Linked DNA regions of Anolis sagrei. The protein of the gene in region 2 interacts with the protein of the main gene of each other region in a pairwise test. Links are inferred from orthologs where the notes say so. Each region holds a gene or a part of one and is shown on either strand. Other genes may lie near its edges. The genes, in order: TGOLN2, AP1M1, ZBTB43 and RUNDC3A.

What was found.
Region 1: the proteins of AP1M1 (region 2) and TGOLN2 interact in a two-hybrid assay, tested with the Homo sapiens proteins (2 studies listed by BioGRID). The link is inferred for Anolis sagrei from reciprocal best matches to the Homo sapiens genes AP1M1 and TGOLN2.
Region 3: the proteins of AP1M1 (region 2) and ZBTB43 interact in binary tests that used the Homo sapiens proteins (3 or more experiments, as listed by UniProt). The two-hybrid records come from large-scale screens. The link is inferred for Anolis sagrei from reciprocal best matches to the Homo sapiens genes AP1M1 and ZBTB43.
Region 4: the proteins of AP1M1 (region 2) and RUNDC3A interact in binary tests that used the Homo sapiens proteins (3 or more experiments, as listed by UniProt). The two-hybrid records come from large-scale screens. The link is inferred for Anolis sagrei from reciprocal best matches to the Homo sapiens genes AP1M1 and RUNDC3A.

The regions. Positions count from the first base shown.
Region 1 is NC_090027.1:16,335,488-16,343,042, forward strand, and holds the start of TGOLN2 (trans-Golgi network integral membrane protein 2), read left to right. Parts: upstream 1-4,537; 5' UTR 4,538-4,609; coding exon 4,610-4,784; intron 4,785-7,555. UniProt on the Homo sapiens protein: May be involved in regulating membrane traffic to and from trans-Golgi network.
Region 2 is NC_090034.1:59,407,815-59,414,817, reverse strand, and holds the start of AP1M1 (AP-1 complex subunit mu-1), read left to right. Parts: upstream 1-4,003; 5' UTR 4,004-4,065; coding exon 4,066-4,107; intron 4,108-7,003. Other genes in the region: RAB8A (ras-related protein Rab-8A), read right to left, coding at 114-174, 3,588-3,711. UniProt on the Homo sapiens protein: Subunit of clathrin-associated adaptor protein complex 1 that plays a role in protein sorting in the trans-Golgi network (TGN) and endosomes.
Region 3 is NC_090031.1:7,991,912-7,999,107, forward strand, and holds the start of ZBTB43 (zinc finger and BTB domain-containing protein 43), read left to right. Parts: upstream 1-4,175; 5' UTR 4,176-4,298; intron 4,299-6,067; 5' UTR 6,068-6,079; coding exon 6,080-7,196. UniProt on the Homo sapiens protein: May be involved in transcriptional regulation.
Region 4 is NC_090026.1:44,452,633-44,460,380, forward strand, and holds the start of RUNDC3A (RUN domain-containing protein 3A), read right to left. Parts: upstream 3,004-7,748; 5' UTR 2,918-3,003; coding exon 2,811-2,917; intron 1-2,810. UniProt on the Homo sapiens protein: May act as an effector of RAP2A in neuronal cells.

The DNA.
Region 1 (7,555 bases), on a different chromosome or scaffold from region 2:
TCTATCTTCTTGTTTTTTGTTCCCCCTCTTTCCTTGTGTGGATTGTGAAAAACTTAATAAAAATCATTAAAAAAAAAAAAAAGACATATAGAGAGGGATAGTTGAAATTCCTCTGCATGATACCTAAATCAACAGGGAGCAAGAGCAAGACAGCCGCAGATATGCTGGGATTGTTGAAATGCTTTCCAGTGCCATTCATGCAGCATTTGCAAACTGTCGTTGCTACTCCCCTTTACAGTTTCACTTTTCTGTAAATCCCTGACTATTGGTCTTGCCGGCTGAGACTTCTGGCAGCCCCAGAAGTCGAAAATAAAACATTGTTGTGACATTTATAAAATAAATAAATGCTTATTCAGAGATGATGATGTTGTCGCAACTCAGGATAGATTCACCTTGCTCAGAACAACACCACACACCAAGGCTGTAGGTTTTGTAGTTTATTGAAGAAAAACAAAATCATAAATGTAGAAATAAGGTTGCAAAAGTTCAATAGCCAAAACAGAGTCTCAACTGCAAAGGCAGAGTTTCCAAGGTCCAAAGGCAAATAGCATGAAGTATTATCCACAAGTACTGGTCAAACAAGAATCCATGGCAGCACGAATCGTAATGTAAATATCTGATGTGCAGGATGTATTTTCATTAATTGGACCAAATTTGGCATTAATACCTGATACGCCCAAATCTGAACACTGATGGTTTGGGGGGGGGGGGGGATTGATTTTGTCATTTGGGAGTTGTAGTTGCTGGGATTCATAATTAACCTACAATCAAAGAGCATTCTGAACTCCACCAGCGATAGAATTGAACCAAACTTGGCACACAAAACTCCCACGACCAGCAGAAAATAGATCTGGACCAAACTTGGCACGAATACTCAATATGTCCAAAAGTGAACACTGGTGGTAACTGGGGAGAATAGACGGCATTTTAGAGTTGTAATTGCTGGGATTTATAGTTCGCCTACAATCAAAGAGCATTCTGAACTTCACCAGCAATGGAATTGAACCAAACTTGGCACACAGAACTCCCATGACCAACAGAAAAAATTTGAAGGGTTTGGTGAGTGTTGGCCTTGAGTTTTGGAGTTGTAGTCCACCTACATTCAGAGAGCACAGTAGACTCAAACAATGATTAATCTGGACAAAACTTGGCACAAATACTCAATATGCCCAAATGTGAACACTGATGGAGCTTGGGGAAAATTTACCTTGACATTTGGGAGTTGTAGTTGCTGGGATTTATAGTTCACCTACAATCAAAGAGCATTCTGAACCCCACCAACGATAGAATTGGGCCAAACTTCCCATGCAGAACCCCCATAGCTTGAAGAGACTTGCTGGCGTGAGCCTCCCTCCAGCCCTGCACGCTCTCCCTCGGCCACACATACACAACACACTGCCACGTGCTGAGCACACCTACTCTCCTCTCCCTGCTTGGAGTCTCAAAAACAACCTTCTCCTTGGATGAGAGGTCGGCCAATCACAGCAGAGGAGTGCGGATTTGACCTCTGTTTCCAAAAAGGAAGAGGACAGGTGGAGAGATCTTCAGACTATCAATATGTTTTCTGTTGGTCTTTGGCGACCCCCCCCCCCCCCCCCGAAACCCTCTTGCAACCCCACGGGTCCTGACCCCCAGGTTGAGAAACACTGCCATAGAATGTCAAAACAGTCCAGTAGAAGAAGGTGACAGCAACCTCATACTGAACCAATCTTGCCAAGAAAACCCAATGATATGTTGGTTTTAAGGTCATCATCAATTGGAAATTATTTAGAGACACATAACAATAACAATGGTAGCGAACTAAGCTATTCCTCTTCTTTGGGCAAGGCTGGGGATAGAACAGATTGAACGAGGGGAATCCACCTCAATGAGATCACAAAAACCGACAATTTCCAAGCCATCAATTAATTTGTAAGAAGGATTTCATCCACGATTTTCATGATCTCAGAAGAAAAAAAATATGACGGAGACCACAAGATGGTGCTATGTGATAATTGTTTAGCTGAGTCTATTTCTAGAGACTTAAGGAGCTGACTTTTACAAACTTGGCAGACCTTACATGGCTGTCTGGAACAAGAGAGTTTTGCAGGCCGCCCAATTCACAGACATGCGAGGCGTTGTATTTCTCCTCCTTCACGCACAACAATCTTCCACTAGGGCTGATGTGCCTGGCCACAGACACCTGTAGTAGGTCTGGTAATATGTGTATCACCACCTGTCAATAATCTGTTTATGAAATTGCGACATTCTTGTCTCTTATTATACCTTCTCAGTACATTGCAAGGTGTGTTTTTGTAGTGATGTGTGCATGTTACCGTATATACCTGGCATTACTAAGGTATTGTTACACTACTGTCATGCCTTCTTTCTCACCCCTTCGCCCCCCCCCTTTTTTTATTTCCTTCTCTTTCTCCCTTCTCCAGCTCTTGAGAGGGCCTACCTCACAAGATCTCCATGGCAATGTGTCCCTCTTTATGGCTCTTTCCCCCATTCACTTTGTATGCCTCACAATTCTTTCCAAGTGACATTGCTGAGGGCCACTTCACCTACCGATAGCAAGGTCAGTGACATCGCAGAAGGCCAATTCACCTAGTAATAGCCAGGCCAGTGACACTGCAGATGGACACTTCACCTAGCAACAGCAAGGCCAGTGGTACCCCCGAGGGCCACTTCACCTAGCAACAGCCAGATCAATGACACTGCAGAGAGCCATTTCACCTAGCGACAGCCAGGCCACTTCACCTAGCAACAGCCAGACCAGTGACCTCGCAGAGGGCCACCTATCAACAGCCAGATCAATGACACTGCAGAGGGCCACTTCACCTAGTGATACCAGGCCAGTGACAATGCAGAGGGCCACTTCACCTAGCAACAGCAAGGCTAGTGGTACCCCAGAGGGCCACTTCACCGAGCAACAGCCAGATCAATGGCACTGCAGAGGGCCACTTCACCTAGCGACAGACAGGCCAGTGACACCAGAGGACCACTTCATCTAGCAACAGCAAGGCTAGCACCACCACAAAGGGCCACTTCACCTAGCAACAGCCAGACCAGTGACACCGCAGAAGGCCACCTAGTAACAGCCAGATAAATGACACTGCAGAGGGCTACTTCACCTAGCGACAGCCAGACCAGTGACACCGCAGAAGGCCACCTAGTAACAGCCAGATAAATGACACTGCAGAGGGCTACTTCACCTAGCGACAGCCAGACCAGTGACACCGCAGAAGGCCACCTAGCAACAACCAGGCCAGTGGCATCGGAGAAAGCCACTTCACCTAGCAACAGCTAAACCAGTGACACCGCAGAGGGCCACTTCACCTAGCAACGGGTTTTCAACTCTAATATATTACTTCAAGCAGAGTATCCTAGACAGTTGTGAAGAAAATGGATTCGTCGCTGAGCCTGGAGCCCCAGGTCTCGGCGGTGACCAGGGGAGCCTTTGCACAGCTAAGGCTCGTGCGCCAGCTGCGCCCGTACCTTGGGAAGTCTGACTTGGCCACAGTAGTCCACACTCTGGTTACATCCCGTTTAGACTACTGCAATGCTCTCTACGTGGAGGTGCCTTTGAAGACGGCCCGGAAGCTTCAATTAGTCCAACGTGCGGCAGCCATGTTACTAACAGGGGCGGGACGTAGGGAGCATAAAACCCCCTTGTTGTACCAGCTCCACTGGCTGCCAATTTGCTACCGGGCCCAATTCAAGGTGCTGGCGTTGGCCTATAAAGCCTTAAACAGTTCTGGCCCAAGATACCTATCCGACCGCATCTCGACCTATGAGCCCACCAGGACTTTGAGATCTTCCAGGGAGGCCCTGCTCTCGATCCCGCCTGCTTCACAAGCATGGCTGGCGGGGACGAGAGATAGGGCCTTCTCGGTGGTGGTCCCTCGGCTGTGGAACACCCTTCCCATGGACATCAGACAGGCTCCTTCCCTGTTGATATTCCACAGAAAATTAAAAACCTGGTTGTTCAAGAAGACGTTCGAACAAGAAGTGCAATGATTGGTAATGACTATAGGAATGGAATAACGGAAAATGATATTGGATTGTGGTTTAGACAATGAGACGATGCTGAATGGTTTCGTAGTAATGACAATGTTTTGTATAATGCTTTTTGTATGTTTTTTGCATAATGGTTTGAGAATTGTTTTTATACTGTGTTTTGTATTTTGTTCTTCCCATGTTGTACACCGCTGTGAGTCACCCTTGGGCTGAGAACAGCGGTATAGAAGCAAAGTAAATAAATAAATAAATAAAATGTGCTATTATCCTTGTGGCTTTATAGAATTTTAATATGAATTTCATTGGCCTTTAGAAGATGCACCCTCTCTCTCTATATATATAGCCATGAAGGAACCTGATGAGATGCTCAAGTGAAGAATCAAAGCATGTTACAGCACTCTAGTTCATTCGTAGCTCTAGGGCGCCTCATCGACGAAGCCCCGCCCCCTTCTCCTTCCCTCCCTTTCTGTGACAGGGCGCCTCCTATTCTCGCGAGAGTGGAGACCAGAGCTCGGGGAGTCTCCCTCGGCGGATGTGACGTGAACGGACTTCCTTTTCCCGTGTGGAGGTGTTGCGGGAAGCGGAAAAGAGTCTGGGCTTGGCCGGCATGGCGAGCGCGCGGCGGTGCCTCCTTCTGCTCTTCCTCCTCTTCCAAGTGGCCGCCTTCGGTGCCTCGGCGCCGCTGGAGCCCGGCGGAGGAGAAGCAGCAGCAGGAGGAGGAGGAGGAACAGGCGGCGGCGCGGAGGAAGCAGAGGCGGAGGAGGCCGCAAAGGAGGGCCCAGGTCAGAGCGCGAGGAGGTGGCTCTCGGGCCATGTTTCCCCCATGTTTCCCTGCCCTTCCCCTTTCGCTTCTCATCTCATCTCTAATTACTTATTAATCGCCCTCCATCCGAGATGCTCCAGGCGATTTACACTGCAGGAATTACACAGGATAAAACGCATACATACAAATATTAAAATTAACATGAGTCAAATGCTCCAGTAAAAAGCCAGGTCTTAAGCGCCAGGACAAAACGCCCCAAGTCGCGCATGGCTCGGAAATAGGGCGGCAAGGAATTCCACAAGGCAGGGGCAGAAATAGAGAAGGCCCATCTGCGTCTGGTGCTTTCCAAGCGCACTTCTCTAGGACCCGGTATATTGAGCAGATCGCGTTGGGATGGTCGTGGCGACCTCCGATGATGGTAGAAGGAGAGGCGGTCTCTAAGATACAATGGATCCTGGCCAAATAAAGTTTTAAAGGTCAGGACCAGCATCTTATACAAACCACGATGCTCAATTGGGAGCCAGTGTAGATGCCGCAGCACTGGTGTTATATGGCATTTCATGGGCGTTTTTGTGAGTAACCTGGCTGCAGCATTCTGAACAATACGGAGCTTTCGGGTCGTAGAAATAGGAAAGCCAACATACAAGGCGTTACAATAGTCTAGCCTAGATGTGACCGTGGCATGGATGACTGTTGCCAGAGCCTCATCCGACAGGTAAGGTGCCAGTTGCCTCGCTTGTCGTAGATGGAAAAAGGCCTGTTTGCTGGCAGCAGCAACCTGAGCCTCCATCGTCAGCTGCAAATTCAAAATGACACCTAGGCTCTTAACAGTAGGCAATGGAGATAGAGCAGCATCATCAAAGGCTTCTGTTCATTTCTGTGGCTGATGAGTCCACCATGAAAGTTCATCTCATATTTATTAATATACTACGGTAGTGTGTGTGTGTGTGTTATCTATCTATATAAATAAAAATTTAATGTTCGTTTGTGGGATTAACATAACTCAAAAACCACTGGGGGAATTGACACGAAATTTGGACACAATACACGTAACAGTCCAACAAGTGTCCATCATCCCTAAAACACACACAAACCCAGCGGAACAGACTTAAAAATCCAAAAAATACACCATATATACATATACAAATACACTCATATACATATACACATGCACTCATACACATGTGTGTGTGTGTGTATATACACATGCACACATACAGATATACATGCATATACATATACACATAAACACACACATATTCATATAGACAAGAACACACATATACAAAATATGCATGTCCACATATAAACAAACAAATACACAAATATATGCACATACATATACACATGCACACAGATATACATATATACATAAACACAGAAATATTCATATAGACAAGAACTCACATATACACATTATGCATGTACACATATAAACAAACAAATACACTAATATATGCGCACACACATATACAAAATATGCATGTACACATATAAACAAACAAATACACAAATATATGCACATATACATATACACAAATATTCATATAGACAAGAACACACATATACACAATATGCATGTACACATATAAACAAATACACAAATATATGCACACACACATATACATATACACATATATGCACACACACACATATATATATACAAACATCTATACACCCACACACACATATATATGGAAACACACATATAAACACAAATAGATACGAGTTGTAGTTTACCTACTACCACAGAGCACTGTGGACTCAAACAATGATGTATCTGGGCCAAACTTAGCACAAATATTCCAAATGCCCAAATATGAACACAGATGGAGTTTGGGGGAAATTGACGTTTCCATTTGGGAGTTGTAGTTACTGGGATTTATAGTTCACCTACGATCAAAGAGCATTCTGAACCCCACGAATGATAGAATTGGGGCAAACTTCCCACACAGAACCCCCATGACCAACAGAAAATACTTAAGGCCATCCAGTCCAACTCCTTTCACCAGAGCAAGAAAACATAATCAAAGCCCTCCTGACAAAGAGCCATCCAGCCATAAATATAGATAGATATGATTCACACACACACATATATACATATATGACAGATAATAGTATCATAGATTTGAAAGAGACCCCTGAAGAAGGACAGTTATATGTTGTATATTCCCTAGTAGGCAAACCAGACAATCTCTACATCAACACTAACAAAGAAACAACAAGAAATACTGTTTACTCACAAGTATCAAGACATTACATATATTAGAAACCAACACTTTCTCATTACTTTATTTTCCAGATCACCAGACTGGGCCACAGCAACGCATGGCAGGGAATGCCTAGTCTATATAAATAAAACTGTAATGTTCGTCTGTGGGATTAACATAACTCAAGAACCACTGGACAAATTGCTACCAAAATCAAAAAGCATTCTGAACCCCAGGAATGATAGAATTGGGAGCAAACATCCCACACAGAACCGCTATGACCAATAGAAAAGGCGATCCAGTCCAACTCCCTTCACCAGGGCACGAAAATATAATCAAATACTGTATACCCACAAGCATAAAGAAATTACATATATTAGAAACCAACACTTTCTCATTACGGTACTTTATTTTCCAAATCACCAGACTGGGCCACAGCAATGCATGGCAGGGGATGGCTATATACATATATATATACACACATACCTGGCACTGCCCGGGTGACATTGAGGCCGCTGTTTACCTACTTTCTCCCTTCTCCAGCTCTGAGAGGGCCAAGGTCGTCTCCATAGCAACGAGG
Region 2 (7,003 bases):
TGCCAGGAGGGGTTGGGTTGTGCTTTCCCTGCCGGGTGGAAAGAAAAGGTTGGACTGGGTGGCCTTTGGGGGTCCCCACCCAACCTTAGAATCCTATGAAATCGGATGTGTACCAGATCTGGAGTTTGATCTTTTTCCCATCGAGGTCAATTGTCCTGATCTTGAAGTCAATGCCTGCAAAAGAGAAGCGGGGTTACCATCTGGGGGATCTCACAGGGTGAGATCTTGTGTGGAGCCCCAGATTGAGGGAGATTATCAGCAGTCTTGTATCTCTTCCATTTCCTACGGTTGATGTCTTCACATCAAGCCGCTTGCCTATTGCAGTTTCAGTCTTCCCAGTCTGGTGCAGGGCGACAATTTTGTTTCTGGTGTCCTTCGACAGCTCTTTGGCCTTCACCAGAGTGGAGTCTGGAGTGTGACTGCTTCAGGTTGTGGACAGGTGTCTTTTAGACTGATAACAAGTTCAAATAGGTGCCATTACTACAGGAGGGCAGAGGAGCCTGTCTATGAGACCCAGAAATCTTGATGTTTGTAGGTTTTGTTTTTGTCGTGTCAGGAGCAACCTGAGAAACTGCAAGTCGCTTCTGGTGTGAGAGAATTGGCCATCTGCAAGGACATTGCCCAGGGGACGCCTGGATGATTTGATTTTTTTTCATCCTTGTGGGAGGCTTCTCTCATGTCCCCGCATGAGGAGCTGGAGCTGATAGAGGGAGCTCATCTGCCTCTCCCCGGATTCGAACTTGCGACCTGTCGGTCTTCAGTCCTGCCGGCACAGGGGTTTAACCCACTGCGCCACCGGGGGCTCCTATAATAACAATAATAATAATAATGGAAGAGACCCCCGTGTCTTCCAGCATCTGAATAATAATAATAGTAATAGTTGGAAGAGACCCCCAAAGGCCATCCAGCCTCTACATAATAATAATAATAATAATAATAATAATAATAATAATAATAATAACAACAACAATAATGGAAGAGACCCACGTGTCATCCAGCATCTAAACAATAATAATAATAATAATAGTAATAGTAATAGTTGAAAAAGACCGCTAAAGACCATCCGGTCTCTGCATAATAATAATAATAATAATAATAATAATAATAATAATAACCCACTGCGCCATCGGGGGCTCCATTGTTTGTAGGTGACCAAATACTTATTTTCCACCATAATTTGCAAATAAATTCATTAAAAATCAGACAATGTGATTTTCTGGATGTGTTTTCTCATGTTGTATCTCATAGGTCTACCTATGATGTCAATTACAGGCCCCCGGTGGTGCAGTGGGTTATACCCCTGTGCCGGCAGGACTGAAGGCCAACAGGTCGCAGGTTCGAATCCGGGGAGAGCACGGATGAGCTCCCTCTGTTAGCTCCAGCTATTCATGCGGGGACATGAGAGAAGCCTCCCACAAGGATGATAAAACAGCCAGGTTGTTAACAGGAGTGGCACTCAGGGAGCACACCACTCCTCTGTTGCGTCAACTCCACACAATTCCGGGCACAATTCAAAGTGCTGGCTTTAGCCTTTAAAGCCCTAAACGGTTCTGGCCCGACCTATCTGTCCGAACGCATCACCCCCTATGAACCAGTTAGGACATTAAGATCGTCCGGGGAGGCCCTGCTCTCGATCCCGCCAGCCTCACAGGCACGGCTGGCGGGGACGAGAGACAGGGCCTTCTCAGTGGTGGCCCCTCGGCTGTGGAACGCCCTTCCCGCAGACATTAGGTCGGCCCCCTCCCTGCTGACGTTCAGAAGAAGAGTGAAGACCTGGCTCTTTGAACAGGCGTTTAATTAAGCAGTGCAATTAACTGATTGATCTTGGAACTTGGAATAATGGACGAGGAAATCGGATTATGACTTTACTGATGAGACGTGATGAGTTAGTTATTATGGATGTATTGATGTTATATTGATGTATTGATGTGCTGTTATATTATTTATTTATTTATTTGCTTTATTTCTATACCGCATTTTTCAGCCCTTAACAGGCGACTCAATGCGGTTTACATGGTACAATTATCAAACAGTGTCAGTGCAATTAAAACATAACAATGGAACAAACAGGATCAACAGCATCAATCCACAACAGTTAACAATCAACAAGACAGATCAACAAAACAGACATAACATAACGCCTCAGTTGAAATCAGATCCGTTCTCATAATCCTTGTGCCATTCCTATGTTCCATTTACCGTCTTCCTATGATTGGTTGCACTGCTTAACCAAACGCTTGTTCATAAAGCCAGGTCTTAACCATTCTCCGAAACGTCAGCAGCGAAGGTGCCTGTCTGATGTCTGCCGGTAGGGGCCACCACTGAGAAGGCCCTGTCTCTCGTCCCCGCCAAGCGCACCTGTGACGCAGGCGGGATCGAGAGCAGGGCCTCCCCAGACGATCTTAATGTTCTGGTCGGTTCATAGGTGGAGATGCGTTCGGAGAGGTAAGCAGGGCCAGAACCGTTTAGGGCTTTATAGGCTAAAGCCAGCACCTTGAATTGTGCCCGGTAGCGGATTGGCAGCCAGTGGAGCTGGTTCAGCAGAGGAGTGGTATGCTCCCTGAGTGCCGCTCCCGTTAGCAACCTGGCCGCCGAGCGCTGGACCATCTGAAGCTTCCAGGCAGTCTTCAAGGGCAACCCCACGTAGAGCGCGTTGCAGTAATCAATCCGGGATGTAACCAGAGCGTGGACTACCGTGGCCAAGTCAGACTTCCCAAGGTACGGGCGCAACTGGCGCACAAGTTTGAGTTGTGCAAATGCTCCCCTGGACACCGCCGAAACTTGGGGTTCCAAGCTTAGCGAAGAGTCCAGGATCACACCCAAGCTGCGAACCTGCGTCTTCAGGGGGAGTGTAACCCCGTCTAACACAGGCTGTAACCCTATACCCTGTTCGGCCTTGATGTAGTTGCCTTAGTTACTGTTTTTAAATGCTAGTGTTGTGCACTTTGTATATTGACCTGGTTGTAAACCGCACTGAGTCGCCTACGGGCTGAGAGAGTGTGGTATACAAATAAAGTAAATAAATAAAACATCAAAAAATCATCCAGGCATCCCCTGAGCAACGCCTTTGCAGCCGGCCAATTCTCTCACACCAGAAGCGACTTGCAGTTTCTCAGGTTGCTCCTGACAGGACGAAAAAAAATACAGGCCTCTCTCATCTTTTTAAGTGGGAGAACTTGTACAATTGGTACCTGACTAAATACTTCCCCCCTCCCTGCATATATATATATATATATATATATATATATTCTCAGTTATCCAGGGAAACCCTCAAGCAACTGACAAAAAAACCTACATCAAAGACAGAATGCTTCCAATGCATCACTTTCAGAATACACTAAACCAGTAAGAAGCCTGTTGCATCCAGCTTGCCCTAACCAAGCGCAGAGTGGATGCCCTGGGAGATGGTCCAGCATGAGGCCTACTTGGAGCCCATTCTCCCCTCAACCGGAAGAGGAGCCCTACTGCTCTCCAGCTAGAAGGTGGGCGTTCGTTGCCATGGCGACCGGGAGGTGGGTCCGGGGCGTCGCCATAACAACCCCTCCCTCCCCTCCCTCAATCCCACCGGTTGCCTGGCAACGACGCACCGATGGTGGAAATGAACGTGGCGTTGAAGGCGTCCTCGCTGAAGCGGAAGAGCGCGCACGTCTTGCCCACGCCGGAGTCGCCGATCAGCAGCAGCTTGAAGAGGTAGTCGTAAGTCTTCGCCATGTCTTCCTAGGCCTGCGAGGAGCCGCCGCGGCTCGCGATAGGCCCACGTCGCTGTCCGTCAGAACGCGCCGGACTCCCATTGGCTTGGCCGTTCGCCGGCGCACTCCTCCTCGAGCAGGAAGAGTGGGGAAACTTGTGATTGGCTGCGTCGGCGCTAACGTCCCGCCCATTGGCTAGAGAAACTTGCAATTGGTCCGTGCGCTGGATGACGTCAATAAGGAATGAGGCTTGTCCGCTCTAGAGTGGGGAAACTTGCGATTGGTGCGTGCGCTGGCTGACGTCACGGTGTGGTCCGCCCGTTGCTTGTCTGGCCGGAAGCGGAAAAGGAGCTCCGGCGCCTGCCGCGGATCCAAGATGTCCGCCAGCGCCGTCTACGTGCTGGACCTGAAGGGAAAGGTGAGGTTTCCTCTCTTCACCATTCTTCTTCTTCTTTTGTGATTGTTATTAGGTGTACTTGGCTTTGGACCTGCCTTGTAACCTGTCCTTCTAGGCTGGCTGTACTGTTATGGCAGATGAGGAGAAACGGGTTTTAGTTGGGGCCTTTCCCCCTTCCGTTGCCTTAATTCGCTCTACGAAAGCTGACTGGCACAACCTGGGAATCACAACCAGATACAGTGAAGGCATCTGCCCTTGCGCTTTGCTACACAGCTGCTGATTATTTATTTTATTTTATTTATTATTTAAACTTATATGCCGCCAATCCCCTGGGGCTCGGAGCGGCTTACAAGAATAGCTAAAATCTAACAAAGTTTAAAAGCAATTTAAAACAATTTAAAAACAACAGTATCAAACATTAAAAGCCTGTTGAAACAGGTATGTCTTACATGCTCTGCGGAAAGCTGGTAAGTCCCGCAGGGCACGAACTTCAGGTGGCAGAGTATTCCAGAGTGATGGGGTAACTGCTGTAAAGGCTCTGCATCTGGTTGCTGTTAGACGCAAGGTCTTGACACTGGGGGCTTCCAATAGATCTTGGTCCTCAGAACGGAGGGATCTCTGGGGTTGGTAGGGGGTGAGGCGGTCCCTCAGGTACATTGGCCCCAGACTATGCAAGGCCTTAGAGGTGAGTACCATCACTTTGAAAGTGATCCGGTGCTCAATTGGTAACCAATGCAGCTGCAGTAAGATTGGAGTTATGTGGCATCTCATCAGAATTCCCGCAAGAAGCCGAGCAGCTGCATTTTGTACCAACTTGAGCTTCTGAATCACCAACAGAGGGAGGCCAATGTAGAGGGTGTTACAGTAGTCCAGTCTTGAGATGACCGTGGCCTGGATCACCGTAGCTAGGTCGTCCCTGGACAGGTAGGGGGCCAGCCGTCTAGCCTGCCGCAGGTGAAAGAAGGCGGTTCTGCTCACGGCGGAGACCTGGGCCTCCATTGTCAGCAGAGGGTCCAAAAGGACTCCCAGACTCTTTACCAATGATGACGGGCGTAACGCCTCGCCATCCAAGGTGGGCAGATGGATGTCCCCACTGCCCGGTCCACCCAGCCATAGGATCTCCGTCTTTGCTGGATTCACCCTCAACCTGCTGGCACGCAGCCATCCAGTAACAGCCTCGAGGCACTGATGGAAACAATCGGGTACAGAGTCCGGTCGGCCTTCCATCTTCAGCACCAGCTGAGTGTCATCGGCATACTGATAACACTCAAGCCCAAAACCTCGAACCAGCTGAGCAAGTGGTCGCATATAGATGTTAAACAACAGAGGGGAGAGAATGGCCCCCTGAGGAACCCCACAAGATAGAGGGGACCTCTCAGAGACCAGGCCTCCCCTCTCCACTCGCTGTCCACGGTTGTGAAGAAAGGAGGACAGCCAGTTTAAAGCTGCCCCCCTGACTCCAGCAACATCAAGGCGGTGGGTCAAGAGATTGTGGTCGACTGTGTCAAATGCTGCTGTGAGATCCAATAACACAAGCAGTGCTGACCCGCCCTGGTCAAGCTGGCATCGAAGGTGATCCATGATGGAGACCAGCACAGTCTCTGTCCCATGCCCCGCACGGAAGCCGACTGGAAGGGTTCTAGTCCGGCTGTGTCGTCAAGGAATTGCTGCAACTGCTCCGCTGCTGCCCTCTCAATCACCTTGCCCAGGAACAAGAGATTTGAAACTGGGCGGTAACTGGAGGGAACCGAGGGATCTAAATCTGGTTTCTTCAGCAAAGGAGAGACCACCGCCTCTTTTAAACCCTCTGGAAAGACTCCTTGCTCAAGGGAGCTGTTTATAATCTTCAACAGAGGGTCACGTGATCCCTCCAAGCAGGATTTCACCAACCAAGAGGGACACGGATCGAGGGAGCAAGTGGTCGGTCTAGCTGCAGCTATGAGCCTATCGACAGCCCCTGCATCCAGTGGGATGAACCGGTCGAGGATGGGCCCAGCAAGTGGCCACGGGGTCTCAACTGCATTCCCAGTGTGGAACACATCTCACAACTGCGTTGTTGTAGGCGTTTGGGGGCTATATGACCATGTTCTGGAGGCAATTTTTCTCCTGACGTTTCACCTGCATCTGTGGCAGTGGTTCTCAACCTTGCTAATGCCGTGACCCCTTAATGCAGTTCCTTATGTTGTGGTGACCGCAAACCATAATATTGTTTTCGTTGCTACTTGATACTTGTCATTTTACTACTGTCATAAATCATAATGTAAATATCCGATATGAGGATGGATTTTCATTAACTGGAGTAAATTGAGCACAAATACCCAATATGCCCAAATGTGAATGCTAGTGGGGTTGGGGAGGATTGATTTTGTAATTTGGGAGTTGTAGTTGCTGGGATTTATAGTTCACCTGTAATCAAAGAGCATTCTGAACTCCACCAGCGATGGGTTTAAACTGAACCTGGCACACAGAACTCCCATGACCAACAGAAAACCCTGGAAGGGTTTGGTGGGCATTGACCTTGAGTTTGGGAGTTGCAGTTCACCTACATCCAGAAGAGTGCTGTGGATTCATGCAATGATGGATCTGGACCAAACTTGGCATGAATACTCAATATGCCCAAATGTGAACACCGGTGGAGTCTGGGGAAATTGACCTTCACATTTGGGAGTTGTAGTTGTTGGGATTTACAGTTCACCTACAATCAAAGAGCTCCACTGGCTACCGATTAGCTACCGAGCCCAATTCAAAGTGCTGGCTTTGACCTTTAAAGCCCTAAACGGTTCTGGCCCTACATACCTATCCGAACGTATCTCGGCCTATCAGCCCACCAGGACCCTAAGATCTTCAGGAGAAGCCCTTCTCTCCATCCCGCCTGCTTCACAAGTGCGGCTTGCGGGAACGAGAGATAGGGCCTTTT
Region 3 (7,196 bases), on a different chromosome or scaffold from region 2:
GGTCAGGCCGAAGGGCCTTCACTGCCTTAGATTGGAGTGCCACCTGCTGTTTAGACTCCATAATGTTGAGTTTAAACTTTCTCAAGCTTTTGATGCTTTGGAGTTAGTTCCCGGTAAAGCATTGCTACTTGTTGGAATTTCAGATTTTGCTGTATTTTGCTACAACACGGCTATCGCTATCTATCTATCTATCTATCTATCTATCTATCTATCTATCTATCTATGTTATCCTAGATCAATGTTTCCCAACCTTCCTAATATTGCAACCCCAAAATACAGTTCCTCATGTTGTGGTGACCCCCAACCTTAACATTATTTTCGTTGCTACGTCATAACTGTAATTTCGCTACTGTTATGAATCGTCGTGTAAATATCTGATACGCAGGATGCTTTTTCATTCACCGGACCAAATACCCAATGCACCCAAATTTGAATACTGGTAGGGTTGGGGGGGGTGTGATTTTGTCATTTGGGAGTTGTAGTGGTTGGGATTTATAGTTTGCCTACAATCGAAGAGCATTCTGAACTCCACCAACAATGGAATTGAACCAAACTTGGCACACAGAACTCCCATGACCAACAGAAAATACTGGGTTTGGTAGGCATCGACCTTTATTATTATTTTATTATTATTTACTACTACCCGTCCCCTGCCACGCATTGCTGTGGCCCACATGGGGCTTCTGCGTAGAAGGTTTGGCCCAATTCTGTCATGGGTGGGGTTCAGAATGCTCTTTGATTGTAGGTGAACTATAAATCCCAGCAACTACAACTCCCAAATGTCAAGATTTTTTTTCTCCAAACTCCACCAGTGTTCACTTTTGGGCATATTGAGTATTTGTGCAGATCCATCATTGTTTGAGTCCACAGTGATATCTGGATGTAGGTGAACTACAACTCCCAAACTCAACGTCAATGCCCACCAAACTCTTGCAGTGTTTTCTGTTTATCATGGGAGTTCTGTGTCCCAAGATTGGTTCAATTCCATCATTGGTGGAGTTCAGAATGTTCTTTGATTGTAGGTGAACTATAAATCCCAGCAACTACAACTCCCAAATGACAAAATCATTTTTTTTTTTTTTAGTGAAGGACATACATTGGCCTGATAGGTGTCTTGTGTCCAAATTTGGTGTCAATTCCCCCAGTGGTTTTTGAGTTCTGTGAATACCACAAACGAACATTACATTTTTATTTATATAGATATTTGTATACCGCCCTTCTCAGCCCTTAGGTGACTCATGGCGGTTTACAGTGGCAATGATTTGATGCCCAAAAACACCATAGCACACTTAAAAACATTAACACATAATATATAACCATAGTAAGAATACTAAAAGCATACATCATTTACGTCTCCTAATGAAGACATTGTCCCATCTCGTCGTCCAGTCTTTCCAATTCTTTTGTTTTTTATCTTTAGTTTTGGAGTTGTAGTTCACCTACATCCAGAGAGCCCTGTGGACTCAAACAATGATGGATCTGGACCAAACTTGGCACAAATACTCAACATGCCCAAACATAAGAACATTGGTGGAGTTTGGGGAAAATAGAACTTGACATTTGAGAGTTGTAGTTGCTGGGATTTTTAGTTCACCTACAGATGGAGCCTTCTAATCAAGGTGAAAGAAAAAAGTGCAAAAGCTGGGCTGCAGCTAAACATCAAAAGAACCAAGATTATGGCAACAAGAATGATTGACAAATGGGAAATAGTGGGAGAAAATGTGGAGGCTGTGACAGACTTTGTATTTCTAGGTGAAAAGATGACTGCAGATGCAGACTGCAGCCAGGAAATCAGGAGACGCTTACTTCTTGGGAGGAAACCAATGTCCAATCTCGATAAAATAGTGAAGAGCAGAGACATCAGACTGGCAACAAAGATCTGCATAGTTAAAGCAATGGTATTCCCCATAGTCACCTATGGATGTGAGAGCTGGACCATAGGGAAGGCTGAGCGAAGGAAGAGAGATGCTTTTGAACTGTGGTGCTGGAGGAAAGTTCTGCGAGTGCCTTGGGAGTTTAAGTCCAAAACACTTGGAGGGCCAAAGATTGCCCAGACCTGCTCTACACTGTAGGATCAATGCAGTTTGACACCCCTTGGACTGCCATGGAATAATGGCTGTTGTGGTTTGGTGTGGCACCAGCATCCTTTGGCAGAGAAGGCGAACGAACCTTGTAAAACAACAACTGCCAGGATTCCATAGCACCGAGCCATGGCAGTTCAAGTAGGGTCAAAACAGCATGAATTCTACAGTGTAGATGCACCCGCTGTCATTATCTCGGCCACCCATTTTGCCATCGTGTTCATTCACCTCCCAGATCCATCTCGGTTGTCCGCTGCGTGGCCTGAGTCAGCAAGACAGTTCTTGTGCGGCTGTGATTGATCAAAAATCCTAAGAATGCTTGCCTGACTTCACAGAGGCCTCATTTCCAGCGGTGTGTTCACTTGCAGGACGTGTCACGAACAAGCCGTACAGAAGCCTCGCTTTGCCTGGGGAGGAAGGAGAAGCCTTGCATCTGGAGGAAGCGCTCCTCACGCACAGGTGAACCCAAACTCTCAGTTCTGTGCAGGGTCTCACCAAAGCCAAATACAGATCAAAGGCTGCTTTTGAACTCTCTCCAAGCACAACCCTTTGGCATCCCTACCACTTCATCACATTCTTTAAATACTACTGAGCCACCCATTTAAGAAACGGAAAGCTACTGTGTTCATCACGTAACATAGGTTTCAAGTGTAGGGTAGAGATACGAGGGTTGAATGAAAAATAATGCCTCCACCTTCGTAACTTCTCAACAGATGTCAGTGCTGGTATTCGGCAGGTACTGGCTTGTTCAGTAGACTCTCCTCTACGGCAGGTACTGGCTTGTTTAGTAGACTCTCCTCTACAATTCCATTTTGGCGGGAAGCCTTAGCATTGAATGGTTGTGTTTTTAAAATGCGAAGTGTGGAACCCTGCGCAGACAGTCTGTCAATGCTGCGCCACAGTCCTGGTGTGAATGTTGCCATTGGCCAGCTTGATTAGCATTGAATGGCCTTGCAGCTTCAAAGCCTGCCTGGTTGCTGACTGGGGGGAAGCCTTTGTTGGGGGGTGTTAGCTGGTCCTGATTGTTTCCTGTCTGGAATTCCCCATTTTTCTGTGTGTTGCTCTTTATTTACTGTCTTGATTTTAGAGTTTTTAAAATATTGGTAGTCAGATTTTGTTCATTCTCATGGTTTCCTCCTTTCTGTTGAAATTGTTCACACATTTGTGGATTTCATTGGCTTCTTACATACTCTGTTATTTACTTATTTATTTACGGCATTTATATGCCGCCCTTCTCACCCCGAAGGGGACTCAGAGCGGCTTACAATATATAATTCCATACAATATAGTATATAATTAGTATAGTACAATATCAGTATTAGATATTACTATATTGCACTATACCATTATATTGTAATATTATTAGTAATATTACATGTAATGTAAATATATAATTATAATATTGTATTATTATTGCTAGTATTATATTGTATTACATTATAATATTATAAATATTATAAGTGTATACAATATACTATATTATATTATTAGTAAAGACAAGATGGAAATGTCTTCTGCTCCCCTCTGCCTTTGCTCTGGCCAGTACTCTATGCAAAAGTACACTCTAAAATTGCAACAGCACAACAACAGAGAGGAAGCAGGCTGGGACATCTAATTACCTCTCAACAAAAGTTTGCTCCAGGCACAGTCAGGCCATTGTATGCTAATCAAGGTGGTCAGTTGAAACATTCACACCTAGCTCCAGCAGACAAGAGTCCTTTGTCTCACCCTGGTCATTCCACAGATATATAAACCCTTTTTCCTAGTTCCAACAGGCCTCACTACCTCTGAGGATGCTTGCCATAGATGCAGGCGAAACGTCAGGAGAGAATGCCTCTAGACCATGGCCATACAGCCCGAAAAACCCTACAACAACCCAGTACACCATCCTTCCAGGATTCCATAGCTTTTGAGCCCCGGCTATTGAAAACAATGGCATCCAATTGCACTCATTCATTCATTCTACAGTGTGGCAATACCACAGACAACCAAAAGGGGGCGTCAACCAGGAAGTGCACCTCTGCTTGTATAGATCTATCATGCAAGTCTGTGGTTAACTCTAAAGGCGGAAGCGGATGTGGCGGGGCTAGAAAACCGGAAGAAGGAAGAGACTAGGACTTCCGGGCCTGAGTGGTGGGCTGGTGGAGGCGAAGCCTGAGGGGCTCGCCCGCCATGTGAGGCAGGAGCGCTTCGCCGAGGGCCTTGCCTTTCAGAGAGGTGAGGCTTGGCTTGGGCTGAGGATAGGGAAGGAGGGGGAGAGGGGAAAGAGGTGGGGCTTGCCCTGGGGGCATCTGCACTGTAGGATTGACGCGGTTTCATAGAATCACAGCATAATAAACTCGGAAAAGACCACATGGGCCACCTAGTCCACCCCCCTGCTATGTAGGAAAGGCACCATCAAAGCACCCCTGACAGATGGCCATCCAGCCATAATGATGATGATATTAGAGTTGGAAGAGACCACATGGGCCATCTAGTCCAACCCCCTGCTATGCAGGAAAGGCACAATCAAAGTAACCCTGACAGATGGCCATCCAGCCATAATGATAATGATAATAGAGTTGGAAAAAACCACATGAACCATCTAGTCCAACCCCCTGCCCTGCAGGAAAGACACAATCAAAGCACCCCTGACAGATGGCCATCCAGCCATAATAATAATGATGGTGATGACATAGTTGGAAGAGACTACATGGGCCATCTAGTCCAACCTCTTGTCCTGCAGGAAAGGAACAATCAAAGAAGTCCCTGACGGATGGCCATCTGGCCATAATTATGATGATGATGATGATGATAGAGGTGGCACAATCAAAGCACTCCTGACAGATGACCATCTGGCCATAATTATGATGATAATAATAATAATAGAGGTGGCACAATCAAAGCACTCCTGACAGATGGCCATCCAGCCATGATGATGATGATAGAGGTGGCACAATCAAAGCATTCCTGACAGATGGCCATCTGGCCATAATTATGATGATAATAATAATAATAATAATAATAGAGGTGGCACAATCAAAGCACTCCTGACAGATGGCCATCCAGCCATGATCATGATGATGATGATAGAGGTGGCACAATCAAAGCACCCCTGACAGATACCATGCAGCCATAGTAATACTGATAATGACCATTCAGCAATAATAATAATAATAGAGTTGGAAGAGAACACGTGGGCCATATAGTCTAATCTCCTGTCATGCAGGAAAAACACCATAAAAGCATCCCTGACAGATGACCACCCAGCCATAGTAATACTGATAATAGAGTTGGAAGAGACCACATGGACTATGTAGTCCGACCCCCTGCCATGCAGGAAAAGCACCATCAAAGCACCCCTGACAAATGGCCATCCAGCCATAATAATAATAATAACAACAATAGAGTTAGTAGAGACCACATGGGCCATCTAGTCCAACCCCCTGCCATGCAGGAAAAACCCAATCAAAGTACCCCTGACAGTTGGCCATCCAGCCATAATAATAATATGGCAGCTAAAGTATCAAACAGTATTAATTATATGGTATAAATTCTCCTACAGACTCAGCAATCCTTATCTGGGAATCCAAAATGTACCATAATCTGAAATTGTTTGTGTGCTCTATCAGTTGCTCTTCTGAACTGCAACAGACCTTGTAAGGAGCAGGGTGACCATGTTGTTATTGTTGTTGTTGTCTTGAGCAGAGAATAGATTGGTTGTTTGCCCTGTGAAAGAGAAGAAATAAATCCTCTTCTATCATGACTTTCCTATGAATTACAAATTGGAACATAAAAAGAAATATGTTGGACGTGTTCCACTATTTTCATCATGACCAGCGATGAACAGCCCAAAGGCAGAGCATGAGGGCAACAGCAGACTCCTCTTACATTCCTGAGAACTGATAACGTTTTCCTAAGGGGAAGTCTGGCTGGTCATGAGAGGGAGAAAACAAATCACAGCCCTGCTTTCCTATTCGTGAACTAAATATTGTCTTTCCTTGCAGTCTGCTGATGAAATGGAGCCTGGGACCAATTCTTTCAGAGTGGAGTTCCCCGACTTCTCCAGCACCATCTTGCAGAAGCTCAACCAACAACGCCAACAAGGGCAGCTGTGCGATGTTTCGATTGTTGTCCAGGGCCACCTCTTCAGAGCCCACAAAGCTGTCCTGGCAGCCAGCTCCCCTTACTTCTGCGACCAAGTGCTCCTGAAAAATAGCCGGAGGATCGTTCTGCCTGACGTCATGAACCCCAGAGTGTTTGAGAACATCCTCCTGTCGACCTACACGGGACGGCTGGTCATGCCCGCTCCGGAGATTGTCAGCTACCTCACAGCAGCGAGCTTCCTTCAGATGTGGCACGTCGTCGACAAATGCACGGAGGTTTTGGAAGGGAACCCGTCAGTGCTTTGCCAGAAGCTGAACCGTACCAGCGACCATCAGTCTCCAAGCAGCAGTAACTACAACGGCCTCGTGGAAAGCTTTGAGCAGGCTGACTTTCACAAAGTGCAGGAACTGCGGGATGGGGAGAACGAGGAGGAAAGTTCCAAGGATGAGCTGTTATCTCAACTAACAGAACATGAGTATCTTCCGAGCAATTCTTCAACGGAGCATGATGGGCTGAGCACAGGAATGACCAGCCAGGATGGGGAAGAAGGAGTGAGCGATAGTGCGGATTATCAATACACGAGGCCACTTTACAGCAAGCCGAGCATCATGTCTCACAAGCGGTGGATCCACGTCAAAACGGAGAGGTTTGTCCAGGACTGTGAAGCTGTGGAAGTGCATGGCCCTTACGATGAACAGCAGGTATCTGAGTCTGTAAACACTGTCCAGGCTGACCACAGTGTCCAGACCTCCGCTGCCGAAGATCTCCGCGTCGGCGAGAAAAAGGTGGAAAGGGAGTATGGTGAGCGAGCCAACGAAGGCAGTTACGACGAGCAAGTGGATTTCTATGGCTCCTCCATGGAAGAGTTTTCTGCGGAGAGGGCTGATGGGACTTTAAGCCTCCAGAGACAGGATGTGGCTGGTTATGGGGAAAGCGTAGATGCGACATCTGGGATCAAAGAGGAAAATGCCCTCTCTGGGTTTTCTACAGCTGACAAGCTTTACCCGTGCCAATGTGGGAAAAGCTTTA
Region 4 (7,748 bases), on a different chromosome or scaffold from region 2:
GTCAAACTCATTTTCATGGAGGACCACATCCGCCTTATGGTTGCCTTCAAAGAGCCATTGAATCCATACACACACACACACACACATAACATTGTGGTCAGTACTCTAATTTTATATATATAACATAGTGGTCAGTACTCTAATTTTTACCCAGTTTGGGTTCTCAGGTGTTACTGAACAACAACTCTCATCACTTTTGATTATATGCCATGAGGACTGGGTATAATGGGACTCGCAACCCAACAGCACATGTGGCTCTGAGGCTGAGAAAAGGCTAAAGGGCATTTTAAAGTCAGGCACCATATCCACAAGTTTTGTATAATCTAGTCCATTATTCTGACTACACAGTACAAATGGAAGCTTTCCGGATGCTATTGTATTACAGCTCCCATCATGATGAGGAATACAGGAGTTAGAATCCAGCCTCTGGAGGAGGGGCACAGAAAAGGATACAGAGGGTGGATTCGGCCCATGGGCCTTGCGTATCACACATGTGGATTACACCAAGCCTTCTCTGAAACATGGATCACAACAGAGCATCTCATGTTGACTCCAGTTACCTTTGGCCTGAGTCTACCCACTCTTCCACCTTTCAGCTTTGAGCTTGCTCCCTTATCTCACCTTGATGCTCCCTTCTATTTTTTTTCCAAATGGCATACTATGTCAATGCCCTTCCAGATTGTTTTCTCTAACCTGACAGGTATCTTAAGACAGGAGCTGTATCTCAGAGTCCACCTTTACCATGCCAGGCCATGGTTGACCATTTCCTTAAACTGAGAACACCCATTCAGCCAGATCCATGAGATCCAAACATACATAAATAGCCTTCCATATTATGCTGATGTCCTTCCAGATTGTTTCTCTAATCTTACGAGAGGAGCTCTATCTCAGAGGTTCCACCTTTGCCATTTCACGCCAAGGTTGACCATTTCCTTGAAGTGGGGACACCCATCCAGCCTGATCCATGAGATCCAAACATACATAAATACATCTATAGCCTTCCATATTATACTAACGTCCTTCCGGATTGTTTCTCTAATCTTACGAGAGGAGCCGTATCTCAGAGGGTCACCTTTGCCATTCCAAGCCATGGTTGACCATTTCCTTGTACTGAGGACACCCAGTTCAGCCAGATCCACAACCAGATCCACACATACATTAATACACACATATATATAGCCTTCCATGCTATGCCAATGTCCTTCCAGAATTGTTCCTCTAATCTTAAGAGAGGAGCTGTATCTCAGAAGGTCCACCTTTGCCATTCCAAGCCATGGTTGGCCATTTCCTTGAACTGGGGCCATCCATTCAGCCAGATCCATGACTAGATCCAAACATACATAAATACACACACACACACACACACACAGACACCACATGGCCTTCCATACTATGCTGATGTCATTCCAGAATTATTCCTCTAATCTTAAGAGAGGAACTGTATCTCAGAAGGTCCACCTTCGCCATGCCAAGCCATGGTTGACCATTTCCTTAAACCGGAGGCACACCATTCAGACAGATCCATCATTAGATCAACACACACACACACACACACATATACGTGGCCTTCCATACTATACCAATGTCCTTCTGGATTGTTTCTCTAAGCTTAAGAGAGGAGCTGTATCTCTGAAGGTTCACCTTCACTGTGGTTGACCATTTCCTTGAACTGGGGACACCAGTTCTATTATCCAAACATACATAAATAAATACATACATATAATATAGATATATAGATATATATCTAGCCTTCCATACTATGCCAATGTCCTTCCGGATTGTTTCTCTAATCTTAAGAGAGGAACTGTATCTCAGAAGGTCCACCTTTGCCACGCCAAGGCATGGTTGACCATTTCCTTAAACCGGGGGCACCCAGTTCAGACAGATCCACGACCAGATCCACACATATATATATATATATGGCCTGCCATACTATGCCAGTGTTCTTCCATAATTGTTCCTCTAATCTTAAGAGAGGAGCTGTATCTCAGAGGGTTCACCTTCACCATGCCATGCCATTGTTGACCATTTTCTTGAACTGGGGATGCCCAGTTCAGCCAGATCCATGACCAGATCCAAACATACAAACACACACACACACACATGGCCTTCCATACTATGCTGATGTCCTTCTGGATAGTTTCTCTGAACTTAAGAAAGGAGTTGTATCTCAGAGGGTCCACCTTCACCGTGGTTAACCATTTCCTTGAACTGGGAACAGCCACATCTATGATCCATACATACATACACACATACATGTATGTATATATATCTAGCCTTCCATACTATGCCGATGTCCTTCCACAATTGTTCCTCTAATCTTAAGAGAGGAGTTGTATCTCAGAGGGTCCACCTTCACCGTGGTTAACCATTTCCTTGAACCGGGGACACCCAGTTCAGCCAGATCTTTTATCTAAACATACATAAATATATAAATACATACATATAATATAGATATATATTTAGCCTTCCATACTATACTGATGTCCTTCCAGATTTGTTCCTCTAATCTTAAGAGAGGAGCTGTATCTCAGAGGGTCCACCTTCACCATTCCAAGCCATGGTTGACCATTCATATGCAGAACATCTCAGCCAGATCCATGCATACATAACTACACATAACTATATATATGTATGTATGTAGTTATGTATGTGCATGGATCTGGCTGAGATGTTCTGGGTGTGAATGGTCAACCATGGCTTGAAATGGTTAAGGTGGACCCTCTGAGATACAGCTCCTCTCAGATAGATAGATAGATAGATAGATAGGATATAGATATATATACAAAGACTCCCAGCTGACCCCTTACCTGCAGACGGTGATGAGGTTCTTCCTCTCCACCGCAATGTTCCGGGAGGAGACCTTCTTGGAGGAGAGCCCCAGCGCCATGGTGGACTGGAGGCAGCTGGGTTCCATCCAGGGGAGGGATCTTCTGGATCGGCCGGGCGCCGCTACCACCCGCTTGCCTTCCTCTTCCTCCTCCTCCCCCTCCCCTCCCCCTCCCCCTCTTCCCTCCTCCTCCTCCTCCTCCCCACCACCCCCTCCCCTCCCCCGGCCCCTCCTTCCCGCCCTCCCCCAGAAGACGAGGCGTTGGGTGAGCCTCCCCCAAGATCGGATGGCTCGGAAGTATCGGCCTCCTCTCTCTCGTCCTAAAATTAGCTCCAGCCCCCTTTCTTGGAGGGATCAAGGGAGGCGGTGGGGAGGGAAGGGGGTGCTGGGAAAGCCGCCAAAGAGGAGATCGGGGTCGGAGGAGGACCAGGAAAGGGAGGGAGGGCGGGGGGAGAGAGGGAGGAGGGCAGGCCGGGAGGAGCTCTCCTTGGTGCTGATTGAAAAGCCGGCCCTCCTCCTTCCTCGAAGAGGAAGCAGCCCCCTCCCTTTGGAGGCCGGTGACGTCATGGCTGGTGATGGGAAGGAGTTGGGAAAGGGAGGGAGGGGGAGACAGGAAGGGATCGAGGGAGAGGAAAGGGATCAGACTACAACTCCCATGATTCTTGATTGTGGGGGGATGTATGGGAGTTATAATCCAATCCATCAGAAGGCAGCTTTCAATAAAGGATGTCCAATGCCTTGAAACTTTGACTGTGTGGATCATAATAAATTGTGGCAAGTTCTTGGTGGGATGGGCGTACCAAGCCACCTTGTCTCTCTTCTGAGGAATCTGTACAAGGACCAAGTCGCAACAGTCAGAACTGACCATAGAACAACAGACTGGTTCAAGATTGGGAAAGGCGTACGGCAAGGCTGCATCCTCTCACCCAACCTTTTAAACTTGTATGCAGAACACATCGTGCGATGTGCGGGGCTGGATGAATGCAAAGCTGGGGTGAAAATGGCTGGAAGAAACATTAACAACCTCAGATATGCAGATGACGCCACTCTGATGGTCGAAAGTGAGGAGGAGCTGAGGAGCCTTCTAATCAAGGTGAAAGAAGAAAGCACAAAAGCTGGGTTGCAGCTAAACATAAAAAAACCAAGATTATGGCAACAAGAAGGATTGACAACTGGGAAATAGAGGGAGAAAACGTGGAGGCCGTGACAGACTTTGTATTTCTGGGCGCAAAGATTACTGCAGATGCAGACTGTGGCCAGGAAATCAGAAGACGCTTACTTCTTGGGAGGAGAGCAATGTCCAATCTCGATAAAATAGTAAAGAGTAGAGACATCACACTGGCAACAAACATCCGCATAGTCAAAGCCATGGTATTCCCTGTAGTAACCTACGGATGTGAGAGCTGGACCTTAGGGAAGGCTGAGCGAAGGAAGATCGATGCTTTTGAGCTGTGGTGTTGGAGGAAAGTTCTGAGAGTGCCTTCGTCTGCGAGAAGATCCAACCAGTCCATCCTCCAGGAAATAACACCCAACTGCTCACTGGAGGGAAGGATACTAGAGACAAAGCTGAAGTACTTTGGCCACATCGTGAGGAGACAGCAAAGCCTAGAGAAGACAATTATGCTGGGGAAAGTGGAAGGCAAAAGGAAGAGGGGCCAACCAAGGGCAAGATGGATGGATGGCATCATTGAAGTGACTGCTGACCTTGAAGGAGCTGTGGGTGGTGACGGCCAACAGGGAGCTCTGGCATGGGCTGGTCCATGAGGTCACGAAGAGTCGGAGACGACTAAACGAATGAACAACAACAATGCCTTGAAAAAGAGCCATCCCTGTTATCCCTCCCTGCCCATTCTTTTCAGGCATTCATACAGTTGGACCTTCGAATCCACGGATTCTGTATCCACGGATCCAACCACCCAGAGATTGAAAATATTATCCTCCACCACCCAAACCCCCCCCCCCCAAAAAAACCACACCTTGATTTTGCCATTTGATGTAAAAAAAAGCATTTTCTTCTACCCTTCCACACAGCTGAATAAAATCCCACATTATCCTCTCTGAACTGGAATATATTTTATTTATTTAAAACGTTGATATTCCTCCCTGCTCACCCCAAAGGGGACTCAGGGAAGAGCACAGCATATTTATATATTTATTTACAGTATTTATATTCCACCCTTCTCACCCCGCAGAGGGCTCAGGGCGGATTACAATGTGCATATACATGGCAAACATTCAGTGCCATTTATTTATCGTGTTAGGGGCAACCAGACCATTGTATTACATTTCTAACAGAACAAAACAACCAAACAAATTTAAAAAACCACAAAGTTTGCAAGCTTGGGAGTTGATTAAATGTCCTTTGACCATTATCTGGCCACTTGGAGTGCCTCTGGTGTTGCTGCAAGAAGGTCCTCCATGGTGCATGTGGCGGGGTTCAGGTTGCATTGCAGCAGATGGTCAGTGGTTTGCTCTTCTCCACACTCACATGTCGAGGATTCCACTTTGTATCCCCATTTCTTAAGATTGACTCTGCATCTTGTGGTGCCAGAGCGCAGTCTGTTCAGCACCTTCCAAGTCGCCCAGTTTTCTGTGTGCCCAGGGGGGAGTCTCTCATTTGGTATCAGCCATTGATTGAGGTTCTGGGTTTTGGACTTTTGGACTCTCGCTTGCTGAGGTGTTCCAGCGAGTGTCTCTGTAGATCCTAGAAAACTATTTCTAGATTTAAGTCGTTGACATGCTGGCTGATACCCAAACAAGGGATGAGCTGGAGATGTCTCTGCCTTGGTCCTTTCACTATTAGCTGCTACTTCCCGGCAGATGTCAGGTGGTGCAATACCAACTAAGTAGTGTAATTTCTCCAGTGGTGTAGGGCGCAGATACCCCGTGATAATGCGGCATGTCTCATTAAGAGCCATAGACACACAACATATATAGACAGACACTCAGAGGCTACTTAACATTCCAGCTACTGGCCACCAGGTGAGCTGTCACTTCACCGTCCATTTGTGACACTGATGAAGTACTTCCTCGTTCTCTGCATACTTCCTGGAGATTTTTATGGCTTCGTAAATCAGTTAAATTAGCCTCCCCACATAAATGGTACCTAAATTTCCTACTTGACAGATGCAACTGTCTTTCGGGCTGCAAAGGTCGACAACAAGCTACACAATTTTGGTCGGGAGCTCACTCCGACCCGGGCTGGCTTCGAACTCATGACCTTTCTGTCAGTATTGATCTTAATACAACTGACTCCCAGCCAGCTGTACCACATATATGGCCAACGTTCAATGCTGTGACATGGATTCATATACGGATACATAAATATGAAAAACTTTTATTTCAATATTAAAATACACAATTTAAAACCATCCTGGTCATTAGTGTCAAATCTAATTGGCCTGGTAATCTTTCCTACTGCTGCTTTATTGCCCTGTCCTGAACCTTGGTCCCACAGCCAAGTTTTTACCATCCTTCTGAAGGACAGGAGGGAGGGGGCCGACCTGATCTCACCAGGAAGGGAGCTTCATAGCCAGGGGGCCATCACCGAGAAGGCCCTGTCTCTCAACCCTACCAATTGCGCCTGTGACAATAATGAAAAGGAAAGCAGGGCCTCCCCGGAGGATCTTAATCTCCGCAGTGTGGCAGTGTGGACTCAGATAATCCTGTTCAAAGCAGATATTGTGGGATTTTCTACCTTGATATTCTGGGTTATATGGCTGTATGGGGAGCCCCGGGTGGCACACCAGGTTAAACCACAGAGCTGCTGAACTTGCTGACTGAAAAGTCCATAGTTTGAAAGGTTGGCAATTCGAATCCGGGAAGTGGAGTGAGCTCCCACTGTTAGGCCCAGCTTCTGCCAACCTAGCAGTTCAAAAACATGCAAATGTGAGTAGATCAATAGGTACCACTCCTGTGGAAAGGTAACAGCATTCCATACAGTCATACCAGCCACATGACCTTGGAGTTGTCTACAGACAACACTAGCTCTTCGGCTTAGAAATGGAGATGAGCACCAACCCCCAGAATTGGACATGACTGGACTTAATGTCAGGAGAAACCTTTACCTTTACTTATGGCTGTGTGAAAGGGCCCTATGTAACATGATTTCTATTCCTGATTATAAATACAATTTCCTAATTGGTTCTATCTAAGGTTCTGTTTTATTATTCCGATGGAGGCCACTAGGGGGCACTAAAGAGAGAAAGATAGTCCATTTTACAGGGGGAAGGAGTTGAAGGAGGAAAACCATTTCCCCTTGTTTTCAGTGGTGATTCCCCCTCCCTGCTTTCCATTTCATAAACCTTTCCACAACAGGGACATAGGTTGAAGGAATAACAGGAAAATAGGAGGAAGTAGTTTTCCTTCTTCAACCCACCCTCCATGTCCATAAAATGGACTATCCTTTTCTCTCTAGCACCCCCTAGTGGCCTCCGGCCAGATAATGACACAGTATCCCATTTCCTTCTGCCATGATGTAACACACTTTTTGTTCCTGAATTATAAATGTCATTTCTTAATTGCTTCTATCATAAAAACATGGTAAAAACATGGATGCACCGTATGCTAAAACAGTGTTTCAGAGAGGAAAGATTATAGACAAAAGTGGATAACATTATGTAACACATTTTTCCTGGGTTATAAATGTCATTTCCTAATTGTTTCTATCATAAAAACATGGGGGAAGTTTATTAAACTGCAAAAAAATCTGCAGCACATTTTGCAATAGTTTTTCAATAAATATCTCCTAAAATGTGGATCAAGTTCTTGGTGGTATGAGGATACAAAGCCACCTTGTCTGTCTCCTGAGGAATCTGTATAATGACCAAGTAGCAATAGTAAGAACTGACCATGGAAAAACAGACTGCGATAGGCGTATGGCAGGGTTGTATATTCTCACCCAACCTATTCAACTTGT